Canis lupus familiaris: one gene and its partner. The protein of the gene in region 1 purifies or fractionates together with the protein of each later gene. This does not show direct contact. Links are inferred from orthologs where the notes say so. Each region holds a gene or a part of one and is shown in the gene's direction. Other genes may lie near its edges.

Region 1 (4,207 bases):
TGGCCCAGGTCATGATCCTGGGGTCCTGGGATCCTGATCCTGCATCAGGGTCCCCGCAGGGAGCCTGCTTCTGCTTCTGCCTGTGTCTCTGTTTCTCCCTCTGTGTCTCTCCAATAAATGAATTAAAAATCCTAAGACAAAACAAAACAAAACAAAAACAGGGCAAATAGGGGTGCCTGGGTGGCTCAGTCAGCAAAGCATCTACCTCCAGCTGAGGTCATGACCTCAGCCTCCTGGTATCCAGCCCCACATCCCCCTCAGTCTGCTCCTCTCTCTCCCTCTGCCTGTCACTCCCACCGCTCAGGCTTTCTCTCTCAAATAAATAAAATCTTTAAAAACAAAGAAAAGACAGGGCAAACAATAAGCAAATAGTTCAAGTTGCTTAAATATTGTTCTTGCTTAAAATCAGAAATATAAACGTGTATGGAGTTAAATGATTTGCCTCCTGCATTACCCCCTCTCTCCGTCTTCCTTTTATCTCTTTGCTAGGTAAATACCAAAACCTATTTCGTATTGGTTTTCACCCTGACTTCAACCCTTACCTAAACTTTCATCTGAAAATCAAGCTGGGGGCGCCTGGGTGGCTCAGTAGGTTAAGTGTCTTCCTTCCTTCAGCTCAGGTGGGGATCCCAGGGAGACCCAAATCTGCCTCTCTGCTCAGGAGGGAGCCGGCCTCTCCCTCTCCTCCCAGTTCATGCTCTATCTGCCAAATAAATAAAACCTTAAAATAAAAAATAAAAAAAAATGTAAAAAGGGAAAAGAAAAATCAACCTGAACGGTCTGACTCCAGGCACAAATTAATTGAATTCTTCTAGCCCTGGTTAAATGGTTAAGTAACATAAACCGGTGGGACAATATAAAGGCAGGCTGATGATCTGCCAAGTGTCCGCAGTGGTTATTAAGGGTTAATTCCCCAACAATTAAAAAAAAAAAAAAAAAATGATGGGATAAATCACCAGATCGGCTTCAACGACGTTCCCTAACGCTAAAGACCGGAAGTCAAGAAATTCTGCAGGAGCCTGGCTTGGAACAAAGGTGACCATTTTCTGGGTGGTTGGAAATATGAGTGAATTCCTTTTTTTTCTAGAATTTTTTTCCTCCGGTCTTCAAACGCGGTGGGGGTGGGGTGGGGGCTGCAAACTGGGAAGACCGAAAACGAGCAGCCGCTGCGGGTGCCGGTGCAGGGCCCACACCAGGAGGTCGACCTTTGTCAGTCTCCGCGGCCCCTCGAGCTTCCAAGTCCCGGGCAGCTCGCGGCGACTCGCCCGGGGCGGGGCCCGGCTTCCTCCGGCCTCCCGCCTCCTCAAGATGGCAGCAGGCGCGAAAACCCGGGGCGGCGCGCGCGGCACTCTGGGAGCGGAAGTGGGGAGGCCCCGCGGCGGCGGCCGGGCCGGAAGGGGCGGGGCCGGGCCTGGAGCGTCCGCGAGAGCCGCGGCGGCTGCCGGAGTGTGCGGGTCGCGAGGGCTGAGGCCTGGCGGGCGGGGTGCGTCGCGATGCCGGAGCTGGCGGTGCAGAAGGTGGTCGTTCACCCCCTGGTGCTGCTCAGTGTGGTGGATCACTTCAACCGGTGAGCGCGGGCGCGGGCGGCCTCCCGGGATCGCCGCTGCTGAGTCACGGGCAGGCTGGGCCGGGGTGGGCAGCGACTCGCCCGCGGCCGGGACCACTCACGGGTCGCGAAGCCTAAATCCCAGGCTCGTCCCGGCCCCGGCCCCGGCCCCGGCCGGCAGTCCGCAGCCCGCAGCCCGGACTGGCCGTGCCGTTTGCCCACGTCGGTGCGCCGCCGCTGTAGGGGCGCGGAGGGCGGGGCCGCGGGGGGCGCCTCCGTTTGGCCCCGGTGCCCCCGTCACCTCGTGGGCGCCTCCGTGCCGCTGGAGGCTGTCCCCGGCCTTCCGGCCTCGGCGCCCAGAACGGGCTCCCTTGGCAGGGCCGTGGCGTCTGAGCAGGACTCGCTCGCCTTTGATGGTGACCTGAAATCGACACTGGGTGCCAAGCCCCTTCTTTTAAAAATGAGAGCGTTAGTAGGTTTGGGCATTAATGAAGAAGCTGGAACGTCCCGCGAGGGTTTCTTGCGCCTTCCCTTCCCTTGTCTTGGAGCCGTTCTTCCCGCTGGACCTGTTACACGTGTTCATAACTTTTACAAGGTAATTGCTCCGATTGGCAAGTGTAAAGACCCGCTGGGGAGCGTCTGCTGTAAAGTCGGTCGTGAAGTGCCGGTTCCCCTGCAGCTTGCCTTGGACGACCCACTCACTGAACCAGAGCTAATAAAACCGGACTCCGTGGGGTTCGGGGTCCCCAGCTTTGTAGAGCCCTCAGCCTACGGGACAGGCGTGCGTTCCCACTGTCCCGCCGGCACTCCTTCCTCCCACAGGGTACTGGACGTGCCACTGGGACAGGCTCCCTCTCACTTCTATCCAGGGGACGGAGTGCAGACACCCGCTGCTAGCTGCGGTGTCGTAATAACACATGTCGGGTTTGTTTTGTTTTTTTTTTTTTAAGATTTTTTATTTATTTACTCATGAGAGAGAGAGAGAAAGAGGCAGAGACACAGGCAGAGGGAGAAGCAGGCCCCATCCCATGCAGGGAGGCCGATGTGGGACTTGATCCCAGGACTCCAGGATCACGCCCTGGGCCGAAGGCAGCACTAAAGTGCTGGGCCACCCTGGCTGCCCAGATGTAGGGATTGTTTTTGTTGTTGTTGTTGTTGTTGTTGTTGTTTAAACCCAGTCAGATTTTTGTAGACCAAAAGAAAAGCACGTGAGTGTGGAAGTTTCCTTTGAAGTGTGGAAATTCGGTGTATAAGATTTCCCCAAAAATCAGAACCACCAGGGATACAGAATCCTTCACTCTGACCCAAATCCCAAATTCAGTGAGCATTTATAGATTTCCCAGACCAGATGTTTAGGAAAACATTACAGTGAAACCAGTGACTGTTAAGGAACTCAGGTTCGTTTCACGGTGGCCTGTGTCTTTCGTTTGAACGTAGGGTTCTAGTGTGCTCTGTGTCTCACGTCCGCTAGTGCTTAGGGGAGAATTCTACATGACGGTCCATGAAATGAGATTGTGTAAGTGAAACACTTGGCAGCTCCTGAGGACAGAAGTCACTGAGGAGGTTTGACAAGTAGGTAGAAATTCCGAAGCAAACCCTTTCTCACTCCTCCAGCCATCCTGTCAGTGTGATCAGTCACCAGCTCACTTCTGATCCTGCCTGGTGAAGCCATTCGGAGACCACAGAGGGTACACGCCTACCTCGGCGTCAGAACCCACTTTCTGAGCCCCTAGATGGTTCAGAGAAGTAGGACTTGTGGTGGGGCTTGTCTGCGTGGAATAGATACCCCAGAGAACACCTGGCAAGCCAGCCCATGAACGTCGTCTGCTTTAGCATCTTTATCTCTGATGATATTTAAGGATACAGAAGATGGGGAAAGTTTGAAGGAGAAAAGTGCAAAAGAAAAAGTTAAAAGTGGCAGCATAACTTAAATATACTTTGCAAACACCAACCAAATAGCATTTTAAAACTCTTAAGCCCTGCGGGGGGGTGGGGGGTGTCCATTTTCTCCATTTTAAGGTTCTAGAAAGTTTGACATTTTTCCAAGCATGTGTTTCTTGGAGTCAACAGTGTAAATACTGCCGATGTACAAAGTTGGTGAGTTACCCATTGTATTTATTAGAATTTAATATTAAGGACTGACCTGACACTATTACATTGGTTTAGTGGGATTAGTTCCCAGGTAAGTGGAGTTGTATCTGTACCATTGATATTTCGTATTGAGTGTCTAATTGTTGGCTCCATGTCTCTGTGTGCCTATCAGACTGACTTTCTGCTTTCTCCTTCAGAATAGGCAAGGTTGGAAACCAGAAGCGCGTTGTCGGTGTGCTTTTGGGGTCATGGCAAAAGAAGGTACTCGACGTATCCAACAGTTTTGCAGGTACAAGACAAATCTTACATTGTTCTACACCTGGCTTAAAATGTCAATTATCTTTAAAATTAATAAAAGAGACTTTTGTGATTTCCATTTTTACTACAACCCAGAAATTCTCTGTCAGAATTGCTGAAGTATAGGAAGGAAGCTAAAAGTTACTCACTAAACTGAAGAGTAAATATTTTAAATTTGCAGGCCATATGGTCTCCATTACAAGTGCTCAGCCCTGTATTGTAGCAGCAAAACTACTATAGACAATGTGTTGACAAAAGGGTAACTGTATTCTA
Region 2 (4,338 bases), on another chromosome or scaffold:
AGACCTTAAAAATGGGGAGATAAGAGGTCATGCGGGGATTCTTTTTTTTTTTTTTTAATTTATTCATGACAGACAGAGAGAGAGAGAGAGAGAGAGAGAGAGAGAGAGAGAGAGAGGTAGAGACACAGGCAGAGGGAGAAGCAGGCTCCACGCTGGGACCCGGACATGGGACTCGATCTCAGGACCCCGGGGTCATGCCCTGGGCCACCTGGGCCTGCCCCCATTCAGGGATTCTTTTTTTTTTTTTTTAGATTTTATTTATTTATTAATGAGAGAGAGAGAGAGAATGAGGCAGAGTCACAGGCAGAGGGAGAAGCAGGCTCCATGCAGGGAGCCGACCGACCGCAGGATCGCGCCCCGGGGTCAAAGGCAGGCGCTACACCTCTGGGCCACCCAGGGATCCCCCCCGCCATGCAGGGATTCTTGAATGTCTTTGAGACTTTTCACATCACTTCCATCATCCTACAGTCACATTTCTGGACCTCCTCATGCTTGGAAATACTCCCAGGAGTTTTGCCACGATTCACTTGCAACAAATCCGGAGCTGGTCCTTAGGCAGCACGCTGCTAGCCTCCAGCCGCACGCAGGTCTACAAAAAGAAAAGAAAACCACAAAGATGAACCCAGGGCAGCCCAGACTCTCCTCTTTTCAGAGCGGGTTTTCGACAGGAGAGGCGGCCGGAGGGCGCGCGGGGCTTGGAACCTAGGTCATGCACTCACCCCTCCGCTCACTGCCTGACCTGAGCGTTTGCTTGCTGAGCCTCGACTTCCCCATGTGGCACCGTGGCCACCCTAGGAGCCGGGGTTGCTAAAGAAGAGCGGGCACACGCCCGCGGGGAGACGTGGTTCGGGACGCGCTGGTGTGGGGCGAGGGGGACAAAGGTCTCGCACGTGTCCTTCCCTTGGCACCTGGCGCGACACACGCTGCACGCGGCCGGCGAGGCACCGCGCGCGGTTTGCACTGCAGCCCGGCGTCTGGGCGTGCCTGGGAGGCGCCACCGGCAGCCTCCGGAGGGTCTCCACCTGCAGCAGCAGGAGGAGGGCGGGAAGGAGCCCGGGGCGGGCGGGGGGAGGGGGGGATGCACGGAGCCCAGCGCTGCGCTCGGGCTCCAGCTCGGGCTCCAGCTCGGGCTCCAGCTCGGGCTCCAGCTCGGGCGGGTCTTTGTTCGGGCGCCGATCTCCGGCTGGGGCTCCGCGAGCAGCTTCTCGGAGCCGCCGAGCCGTCCGGCAGCAGCTCCGGGTCCGCACGCCCCCCGCCGCGCCGCGCCCTCCAGCCGGAGCGGACGCGCAGACGAGCGCGCGCAGGCGGCGGCGGGCAACAGGGCGGGGAAGGCGGGGAAGCGGCGGACCGCGGGGCTGGAGGAGCGGCCCCCCCGGGAGGGCGCAACCCAGGCAGCGCCCGCGAGGCGGGGGGCGGGGAGACCCCGGCCGCCCGCTCCGGCCGCCCCCGGGCCCGCCCGCTGTCCCGAGGCGGCCCCCCCCCGCGCCAGCGTCTGCTTTGGTCTCGCCCTGCGGCTGGGCGGGGCCGCGCGACGCCATTCCCACAATGCTCCGGGGCGTGCCGCCGCCGTCGCTGCCGCCTGTGGAAGAAGATGGCGGAAGGCGGAGCGGCGGATCTGGACATCCAGCGCTCCGACATCGCGACGCTGCTCAAAACCTCGCTCCGGAAAGGGGACACCTGGTGAGGGAAGGCGGCCGCGGCGGCCGCGGCGGCGGGAGGGCGGCGGAGGCCCGGGCGGGGGCTGCGGGCCGCTGTCTGTCGCCAGTGACAGGTGCGGGCAGGTCCGGCGGCGGCCGCCCCGGGCGAGCGGGGTGTCGGCGGCCCCCGGACGCCGGGGGCGAGGATCGGAGCCGGGGGCGGGTAGGGGGGGCCGGGGCTCGCGGCCGGTCACGGCGCGCCCAGCGGCCTGGGGGGAGCGGCGGCGGCGCTGGTCCGCCGGGCCCCCGCGGCGCCGCTCCCACCTCGGGCCTGCCCGGACGCCGGCTCCCCGCGGCGGCCCGCGGTCGGGCGCTGACAGCTCGGCGGCCCGCGCCGCTGCTCCGCTCGCTTCCTCCCGCGGCGTCTGCCGGCGAGCGAGTTGCTGGCTGGCCCGACGCCGGCGTTCTTCCGGGAGGCGGGCTGCACAGGTGGGCCGGCCCCGGCACCTCCCGCGGCGCGGAGCCCCCAGCCCCAGCCCCCCGGCCGGAGGAGGCAGAGTCCGGGACCTCGGGCCGAGCAGAGGGGGAACCACGTGGTCCCGGGCTTCGGCGGGGGCTCGGTCGGGACCCGCCGCGCCTCTCGGAAGCGCAGCCCTTCCCTCCCGGGCGGGCGAGCCGCAGGCCTGCACGAAGTAGATAAGTCCGCTGGAGGCTCAGCGCGCTTGCTACCCTCGAGACCTAGGAAATAGCAGAGGATGCAAACGCCGGAGGTAGCACGCGTAGGGATTTAATACCGGTGGTGGTCGGCACTGCTTAAATACGGGAATACGTGACCTAAAGGGCAAGTGGTGTTTGTCAGGAAGAAGAGGAGGGATGTGCTTCTTCATATACAGTGACCGCTGTTTTCTTGTCTGCTTGTCACCGTAGCGGCGGTGTAGGATGCACGGGCCCCTCTACGACTTGGTGGAGGGAACGAACCTAAGACTGAGACCTGGTTAGGTCCCCGTTTCACCGCCTCACCTGGGGCAGGACTTGGAGGACAGGCAGTTTGAATCGCTGTGCCCCCCCCCCCCCCCGTCTTCATCCGTGAAGTGGGCAACGAAAATTCCGTGATAGGGGTGTACTCTCTCGATCTTGAGGAGGTATTCCAAGACATTATCTGTTTAGGAGAGGACGTTAAGTGTTAGTCGCTGTGTTGTCCCCGCCACTTACTTCCGATAAAATGCTGTAGTATTAGTGGATTTTGAAGTAAGTTAGCAGATGGCAGTCTTGGGACTTGACTTTTAAGTGTTTTTTGATCTAAGTCTTGGTACTTTTCTTCCTACTTTGTTGGGCTACATACATTCTGGGTTTATATGGTGAAAATCCCTAACGGTGTAAACATGCACTTGTTGCACTAGAACAGAAAATACGATCTCTAGATGATTTAATGATCATTACTGCGCATGTCAGTGTTTGTAAGATGTTTATTCCTGTGTGGAAGTTGGATATTTCCTAGGACACATAATTACCTTGGTCTTTGGATTATTAAAAGATAAATTAATCCTAGCTTCCCATTAGTTAACCTGTTCCCACCTCATAAAAAACATAAATGGGGATCTCTATCCTCTTAAAAATGGCTATGATTCAGATGGATATTACTTCTTTTTAATGTTATGTTTTTGGTACTCTGAGTAGTAGTTGGTGGTACTCTGAGTAGAGACACAGGCAGAGGGAGAAGCAGGCTCCATGCAGGGAGCCCGACGTGTGACTCGATCCCAAGACCCCGGAGTCACGCCCCGGGCTGAAGGAGGCGCTAAACCGTTGAGCTACCCAGGCTGCCCTGGAAATAGTCATAAAGAATAAATATAGGAAGTCGTAAATTTGAGTCTTTTAAATGCGTTCATTTTAAAGAAAGGGACATTGAAGACCACATATTTAGATAACAGCAGAATGTGGAATTTTGTTAAGATTTATTTATTTATTTGAGAAAGGGCTGGGGAGGGGCAGTGGGAGAGGGTGAAAGTCTTTTTTTTTTTTTTTTTTTTAATCAGGCTCCCGGCTAAGTGGGAAGCCTGATGAGCCTGATGTGGGGCTCAATCTCACGACCCTGAGAGATCCTGAGATCACGACCTGAGCTGAAACCAGGAGTCAGATGCTTAACCGACTGTGCCACTCAGGGTGCCCCAAAATGTGAACGTTTTTGTCCTCAAATTGATGATACCTCTTAGTTAAAGGGAAAAAATACCGGAGCAGGATGGTACTGAGGATTTGCAAAAACCAGTTTGGTTTAGGCCACTTAATTTGCAATTAGGTAAAATCTGTCAAAAAAGAAAATAGTTTAGAACAAAAGTTTGATTCAGAGTTTTAAGGAGAATAATTGGCTAAGTACAAATTTCATTATATATGCATGATTTCAGAACTGGTAAAGATTTAATAATTTGTTACTTGGGCTCATAGTTTTTGGAACTCACTACAACTTGTTTTTAACTTGTTAAAAAGTTGGGCAGCCCGGGTGGCTCAGCGGTTTAGTACCACCTTCCATCCAGGGCCTGATCCTGGAGTCCCGGGATCGAGTCCCATGTTGGGCTCCCTGCATGGAGCCTGCTTCTCCCTCTGCCTGTGTCTCTGCCTCTCTCTGTGTGTATCTCTCATGAATAAATAAATAAAATCTTAAAAAAAAGTTGTTTCTCTTTTTAATGCCTTTTTAAAAGATATTTGG

Evidence for each region. The genes of interacting proteins can lie anywhere in the genome.
Region 2: the proteins of PSMD7 (region 1) and USP15 purify together in Homo sapiens (affinity purification with mass spectrometry; 3 studies listed by BioGRID, with this or other methods). This does not show direct contact. The link is inferred for Canis lupus familiaris from reciprocal best matches to the Homo sapiens genes PSMD7 and USP15.

What each region holds. Positions count from the first base shown.
Region 1 is NC_049226.1:80,364,404-80,368,610, forward strand, and holds the start of PSMD7 (26S proteasome non-ATPase regulatory subunit 7), read left to right. Parts: upstream 1-1,389; 5' UTR 1,390-1,493; coding exon 1,494-1,567; intron 1,568-3,834; coding exon 3,835-3,926; intron 3,927-4,207.
Region 2 is NC_049231.1:5,872,915-5,877,252, forward strand, and holds the start of USP15 (ubiquitin carboxyl-terminal hydrolase 15), read left to right. Parts: upstream 1-1,533; 5' UTR 1,534-1,591; coding exon 1,592-1,680; intron 1,681-4,338. UniProt on the Homo sapiens protein: Hydrolase that removes conjugated ubiquitin from target proteins and regulates various pathways such as the TGF-beta receptor signaling, NF-kappa-B and RNF41/NRDP1-PRKN pathways.